Linked DNA regions of Arabidopsis thaliana. The protein of the gene in region 1 binds, or shares a complex with, the protein of each later gene. Each region holds a gene or a part of one and is shown in the gene's direction. Other genes may lie near its edges.

Region 1 (3,753 bases):
AAAAGCAAAATAGATCACAGAAAGAAGAGGAATTTTAACCAACCTACGGCCAACAGAGCGGTTCCAACACAATACTTAAGTGCTTTCCAGAAGGAGATCGATTTGGTCTGTCATTGACAAACATAAAGCACCCGCATCAGATGGAACGGTAAAGTATACGGCCAATTATACATATACAGAAGTTGAGAACCCAAACTATTTAATATTCGTCACCAGCTCACCAATAAAAGTTCAAGACCAATAGGCCCAAGCAGTAACATCGTATCGCATCTGAAGATTACAGTGGCAAAAATCTGATTATCGGATAACAGAGATGTCAGCAAACCCCATAGTTCTGGATAGCATGACCGATTTTCTAAATCTATAATCGAGAAAATATGTCACCACAAAGATAATACATACCAGGAAACTCAAAGCTGGATAAAAATTTCCCTTTAACCAATTACCATATGCCAGATTGACTGCAAAATCAAAATTTAAAAACATAAGCAGAACCTAGTAAGGCCTACGCTAGATGGGTCATGGGAAAGATTGCTAGGACATCTGAAGGACCACTACTAGTAGAGTAAGATGAATAGAAGTAATTACCTAATCCCAAAGCTAGAATATTAGGAAGAGGACGAGTGCAGTAGAAAAGAAAATGAAACTGAAGACTGGTGAAAAGTACAAAGAAAGTTTCCACTTGATTTCCAAACTTTTTTTTTATCTGACAAACCAGTAGATTTTGGTCAGTGGCAGTATATAGGAGAAAAACAGCCAACAAGATGCATGTAAGAGATCCCAATTCCAAGGACATGGGAAGGGACAAAGAATCAGATAGGGGAGTCAGAAGTGTGGTATGGAAAGAAGCACTAAAGGAACTTCATACCTGAATCCGGAAAAATCTTAGTGTGGACAATATGATGCAGCCCAACACCAAACGAGCTGCAAGACAAAATGATAAAACTATGATGTGAATTGGTTTTGTCTGTGTTTAGGGGAAAATAGTTAGCGATTCATTAAGGAATTATATAGGGAGGGAGAAACAGAAGAGAAACCTGCAACAAGGCTATAAACCTTGGGGAAGCCAAGGCAGCTGATAATTGATACAACAGGTGATGCAAAAACAGAGACTATGAAGGCTCCTGCAAGAACAAATCAGAGTGGAATAAAAAAAAAACCATCCACTAATGTATAATGATAAAAAAAAAACCATCAACAGGTGATGCAAAAACAGAGAGCGAAATTCAACAGCCCTCCTTACCAATAAAAGTTCGAGGGACAACACCGGGGAACTCCAAATGATCATACTGATAGGAAAAAAATAAAAAGACAGAAGTCGGTAAAAATTGACATCACTCTAGAGATAAAAAAAAAAAGAGTAAAGCTTCAGAGAAGAAGTAAAAAGAGAGGTCACTCACAGAGTCCAAATGATGGCGATGGTAAAGAATGTCGTGCATTGACTTGAGACGAGTGAAACGGTTTCAGTAAAACGGAGAAAGAGTGTGACTCTAAATACTTTGAAAACCTACCTGAACGTTGAAGCTCTCTTCCACCTTAGTATATGGTGCCATGACCACATAGATTGCAGCTACAGATCCCAGAATCAAATCATATCCTGCTCCCACCAATCGAAAGTTTCAGTTATATAAAAAAAGAAAAAGAGATCATCTGGCCGCCTAAGAAGACGAAACGAAGAAATTACCATAGGATTGAAGAAACTTGGCCATTTTCGAATCCGTCGGCATCGTCTCTGTATCGGGGAATCGGAAATCAGGCAGCCCGGATACACACACAATTTCGATGGAAACAGAAAAACTAAAACTGGGCCTTAACTTTTCGGGTTACAAATGGGTTCTGGCCCAATATGTAAGCCCATTACCTTTTTTCTTTTGCGGGGACGGACTTAAAGAAGGGCAAAGGACACGGAGAGGTAATCTCGATCTCGAGAAAGAAAGAAAAAAAGAGAAGGCATGGCCGCGGAAGAAGCGACGGAGTTCTACCTGAGATACTATGTCGGTCACAAAGGGAAATTTGGACACGAGTTCCTGGAGTTCGAGTTTAGAGAGGACGGTAAGCTCCGTTACGCCAATAACTCTAACTACAAGAACGATACTATTATCCGCAAGGAGGTATTTCTCACCCCCGCCGTGCTCAAGGAATGCAAGCGTATCGTCTCCGAGAGCGAGGTCCTTTTTCTCTCTCTCTTCCGATTTGCTTCTCTCTTGTTAATTGTCCGCGTTTTGGTCAATCGACGCTATAATAGCCAATTAGGGTTTTAGTGATTTTGCTTCGATTTTTGTCGATCTAGGGCATCTTTCCTGACTAGTGTTGTAGGTTTAGAACCCTCTTCGTTGTTAATGCTATTATCTAGGAATAATGGATGATTTTGTACAACCTGACATGTGATTATTTGTCTGCGGGTAGATTCTGAAAGAAGACGATAACAATTGGCCGGAACCTGACCGTGTTGGAAAGCAAGAGCTCGAGATCGTCTTGGGTAATGAGCATATCTCATTCGCTACATCTAAGATTGGATCTCTTGTTGATTGCCAGAGCAGTAATGATCCTGAAGGACTTCGCATCTTCTACTATCTTGTTCAGGTCTCCTCTCTTTTTCTTCCACCCCTTGCCTTACCATCTTTTCTTTTACCTAATCCCTTAACTCTATTGGACTCGATTATATATTTAGGACTCTGCCTTTTAACGTATTCACTGTCTCAAACTTTAACATTTAGGGTTTGGCTGTTAACACTCATCCCTTACATGGTTCTGTAGTTTTTTTTTTTTTAGTTTCTGTATTTATTTGTGCTCTAACATATTCCTTTTGAAACTTTCATGGTTGCAGGACTTGAAATGTCTTGTTTTTTCGCTCATCTCTCTGCACTTCAAAATCAAGCCTATCTAGAGAAGAAAATCAGTTTGTGACATGTCAAGACGCGATGAATTTGTTGGGAACATGAGGACTTTGTGACTGAAGTTTGGTTGTTTTTATGTCTCTGGTTCTCTGTTTTTTTTTTTTGTTGGATTTGGGTGAAAGTGGGTATGTAAGATGTTCTACCTCAACTTTTGGTCCTTTTTTGTGTCAACATCCCATGTGAAGAACCTTTCATGAACCACAACCTATCTTCTAAAAACCATATACTTGCTGTTTTCTTATCACAAATCATTCACTCTCCCTAATGTACATCTACATATGATGCATGTTTCTTTTCCCTCAAGCCAATTTAAACTAAGGAATGTGATCTATCTAAAATACAAAGTATCAAAAACTAGCTGGATTAGTCGATAATTAGGATTGTTTCCATTCTAAAAAAACGCCCTCGGACCATTCAAACTGCTCCTCCAAAACCCGTAAATCTGGTTTTGCATTGAAGATATCAAGAGTAGCTTTTTATGAATCGGGAAGAACAATGGAGGATTCATTTGTCAGTGTCAGGCGGATTACTCACAGCCTAGACAGAGGACGCACCTGCCATTCATCCTCAGGTTAAGCACGCACTAGTCTCCTTTACCTTGTTGTAGTGTGTTGCAGAGAGTCACATGCATATTTCATCTTGTGGCAGGATCAGGTGCATGGTTAGGGCGGGGACTGGCTTGTGTTTGTGCACAGAAAAGGGATCACCACTCTCGTTATTCCTTTGATCTCACCCCTGCTCAGGCACCAACTAGCATCAGCTAGTTAGTTAGTTACCTTTTAAGATGGTCGGGGAAACATTAGTAGCTGGTTAGTTAGTTAGTTACAGCAGCTTTGGGTTAAGAGAGATAAACGCG
Region 2 (3,753 bases), about 19 Mb from region 1:
TTTATTGTTCTTTGAAACTGTTATCGATTTTTAGGGATATTCAAGTTTCGTAAAGAGCGAGATTAGAATGGAAAGAAATCATATATATTGACCTGATTATTTTGGCAAATTAAGAGCATTAACAGATTTTAAAAAGATTGTAGTAACAGATTTTAGTAGGTATCAACACTATGTATTCCCTTTTTCATGGATAAAGTAGCTTTTTCAATACATTGTTTTCGTTTTTGTTTTTTTGTTTATTAGATTGATTTGTTAGAAGAACAATTTATATTTGCAGTAAAAGATTATTGGAGATAATTAAATTATTTAGTTAAAATAATTTATATAAAGTAATTTTTTAGTTAACTAAATTATTTGACCCCAAAAAAAAAAAGAAATTCTTGGTCTGCCACTTTCTATACTCTATACTAATAAAGATTTTAGTTTCTTCACCTATAGTAATGGGAATCACTTGGTTCCAACAAAATTGATAATTACAACTGTTTGGTGGATTTAATTTTTTTTTTCTCCCAAACTCTTTGGCGTTACAACCTGCAAGTAAAAGGGGAAAAATGAGGTCAAAAACTCTATCAAAAAACAAAACCAAATGAATAAGGGCCAGGCTTATCCCTGAACATAGCTAAGTGAAAACTAGCATTGTGATGTATAGATTATATAAATCTTAGGACCTGCCCGTAAAGAAAAAGTATACTCTATAAATATTAGGACCTGCCCGTAAAATATTTTTTGCCCTTAACTCTCATGACCGGGCCAGCTAAAGACAAACGGTCACTTGAACTGTGAAGTCTACTATTTTTAGTATAGGGCTCATCGACAACAATTACCCTATCCCATCCCATAAAACAAAATTTTGTCAGGCAGCTGTTCTTTTCCCCGTCACACCAAAACTCGCGCATGACATTAATTTTTCCTCAACACTGTAACGAGTGTACGGTCTTCGGTTACTTCATTTCCAAATCCTACCCGTTAAGATTATCTTTAGATATTATATCAACGGTCGATATAGCTTCTTTAAGGACACGTGTGTTGTTAAATAGTTGTCGTAAATTGACCAGAGTTTTGTACTACTTTAGTCAACAGAACCAGACAATAAATGTTTTCCAAATTAATGCTCTCCCCTCCTCTAAATGACGTAAGTAATTATTGGCGACGAACTAAGATTTGTTTTCTTTAAATGCTTTGCATCTCTCTATGTTTTCTTTCTTAGAATTTGGTCGAACATGTTGGACGAGATTTATTTGAGATTAGAGTGGGAATTAGAAAGCAATATTCGACTATAATGATTGTATGCAAACGGATAAAACAATGATGATCACCATCAAAGAGATGGACCAGTATCGACTGTAAAGTGTTAAATACCACAATATGATTGATAGTATCCTAATTATGAAGTGATACAATAATTTGACATCATGAATGCTTAAAAAGGTATGCCATGATTCACTCTCGACATATGAAATTCAGATAATGTAACATTAACAAGAGAAGTTTTCATCAAAGGCTTAAGCCTGTTTTGTAAGAAACCTAAAAAATCAAAGGCTTAGCTTACTCTGAAGCGTGAAAGAATAAATAAAAAAAGTAAGAGCCCAAAATAAGCCCACTAACATTGACGAGAGGAGTTTAATCAAAGCCTGTTTAAAAGGGAAAAGGAAAAACTAGCGTGAGAAAGAAATACAAGCGTAAAAGCCCAAAATAAGCCCACTTAAGGTCCAATATATTCCTATAAACAACACTGGCAGAGAAATATCTTGATAGAAGAAAGAGCTCCGTCCCCAAAAACAAAGGAAACAAAAAATCAGTCGGCGAAACGGGAAGAGATCTATCGGAAATCTTACGGCGGCGGAAGTCATGGCGAACATAGAATCAGAAGCAGTCGATTTCGAGCCAGAGGAGGATGACCTTATGGACGAAGAAGGTACAGCTATTGACGGAGCTGATGTTTCTCCACGCGCGGGACATCCGAGGCTTAAGTCGGCTATTGCCGGAGCTAATGGCGAATCAGCAAAGAAGACCAAAGGCCGTGGGTTTCGCGAGGAGAAAGATTCCGATCGTCAGCGTCGTCTTTCCTCACGCGATTTCGAATCACTTGGTTCAGATGGCCGTCCTGGTCCGCAGAGATGTAATTTCACTAAATCTCTTCCTCTTTCGCTGTTTTTAGTTAGGTTTTAGTGTTGGCATACTGATTCTTCGCGTTGTTGATTTATTTGTGGTAGTAATTTGTTCTAGGGTTTCTCATAACCCCTTGTGTTTGGGATTCAATTTGACCTAGAAGTTTTTTGAAAAAAATTAGATTGGTTTAGATTTAGTTTGTAACCATTATAAAAAATGTAATGGTTCTAGAGTCTGTGAAGATAGAACATAGTTTCTTTGAGGGTAATGAAGAATTGGGACTGTTTTGGATGAATTTGTTTGTTGTGTGTGTTTATGTGTAGCCGTTGAAGGATGGATTATCTTGGTCTCTGGAGTTCATGAGGAGACACAGGAGGAGGATATAACCAATGCTTTTGGTGATTTTGGGGAGATTAAGAATCTAAATCTCAATCTCGATCGCCGTAGTGGTTATGTCAAGGTATGGAGTTTTGCCTTTGTTTCTTAGTGGCTCTTGATGTCATTATGCCTTTTGGTTAGTTATTGTGAAGCTAATTTTTTTGCTTAGTTATGTTGATATCATTTTGCCTTTTGGTTTGTTATAGTGAAGCTTGATTTGTTGGATTGTTGTCATGATGTAATTTAGAGATGAATGCAATACTGTTTTGTCGTAGATGTTGACTTTACTCTTTGACATGCTTTGTGTTAATCAATGTAATACTGAATATCTGAAATTGAGAGCCAAAAATGATAAATTTATCTTTGCAATGTTACATTGCTTTTAAGAGGGAGATGTAATATTCTGTAAAGTGCAATGCTGTTCCCTAAGGACACTTCGTTTAAGTTACTTCAAAGTGTCAGAAATGACGGGTCGAATAAGATAAGCTGTCTTCTAGATGCGAGTTTAGGAATCAAATATTATTTTTCTTTAGTTTGCTTGAGTTCTCATGGAAGTGGAAGTAACACTTTGCTTTTGTTTTTTTTGATAAGGGATATGCTTTGATAGAATATGAGAAGAAGGAAGAAGCACAGAGCGCTATTTCAGCAATGAATGGTGCTGAGCTTCTAACACAGAATGTTAGCGTTGACTGGGCCTTCAGCAGCGGTCCCAGTGGTGGTGAATCTTACAGGAGAAAGAACTCGAGGTTTGTATCCTAATCTCTTTTCTGTTCCGCTACGACTTGTCTGATCTTGTGCCGATATGAAGTCAAGAGTGTCAAAAAGTATCAATTAAGATATAGACTTAGAAGTTTTAACAGTTGACAAGGTAGTATATTGTACTAAGCACCTACCAAACTTTACTGTCTTTATGCTAATGAATCGAAATCACTTGTGACTTGTCAAGTAGTTATACCTTTCTTTAAATCATCATCCATTGATCATTGGGGTTTTACAGGTATGGGAGGTCGCAACGTTCAAGAAGTCCGAGAAGACGTTACTGATTGTATGATTTGGTGGAGAGTTCTCCCCATATCTCTCTGTATTAGGGATTCCCTCTCTTATCTGTAAGGTACTGATGCAAGACGCTGAGTGTTGAACAAATTTTTTTCTGGGGTTTTTGTAGGGTTTGGCTGCTTTTGCATTGGTTTATCTCTTTATGCATTTGCATGGGATTGTTGCGTTTAAACACCATGAGATCTGTTTTAATGCTTTGTATTGGTAAAA

Evidence for each region. Proteins that work in one complex are often made in the same cells at the same time.
Region 2: MAGO (region 1) and Y14 share a complex: the UniProt entries of both Arabidopsis thaliana proteins name them as parts of the mRNA splicing-dependent exon junction complex.

The regions. Positions count from the first base shown.
Region 1 is NC_003070.9:402,601-406,353, reverse strand, and holds MAGO (mago nashi family protein), read left to right. Parts: upstream 1-1,897; 5' UTR 1,898-1,952; coding exon 1,953-2,168; intron 2,169-2,406; coding exon 2,407-2,583; intron 2,584-2,827; coding exon 2,828-2,887; 3' UTR 2,888-3,254; downstream 3,255-3,753. Other genes in the region: ALG12 (homolog of asparagine-linked glycosylation 12), read right to left, coding at 44-107, 222-293, 403-461, 589-706, 869-924, 1,038-1,124, 1,244-1,289, 1,401-1,442 and 2 more. UniProt on the Arabidopsis thaliana protein: Core component of the splicing-dependent multiprotein exon junction complex (EJC) deposited at splice junctions on mRNAs.
Region 2 is NC_003070.9:19,102,849-19,106,601, reverse strand, and holds the start of Y14 (RNA-binding (RRM/RBD/RNP motifs) family protein), read left to right. Parts: upstream 1-1,668; 5' UTR 1,669-1,848; coding exon 1,849-2,119; intron 2,120-2,432; coding exon 2,433-2,569; intron 2,570-3,078; coding exon 3,079-3,233; intron 3,234-3,484; coding exon 3,485-3,530; 3' UTR 3,531-3,753. UniProt on the Arabidopsis thaliana protein: Core component of the splicing-dependent multiprotein exon junction complex (EJC) deposited at splice junctions on mRNAs.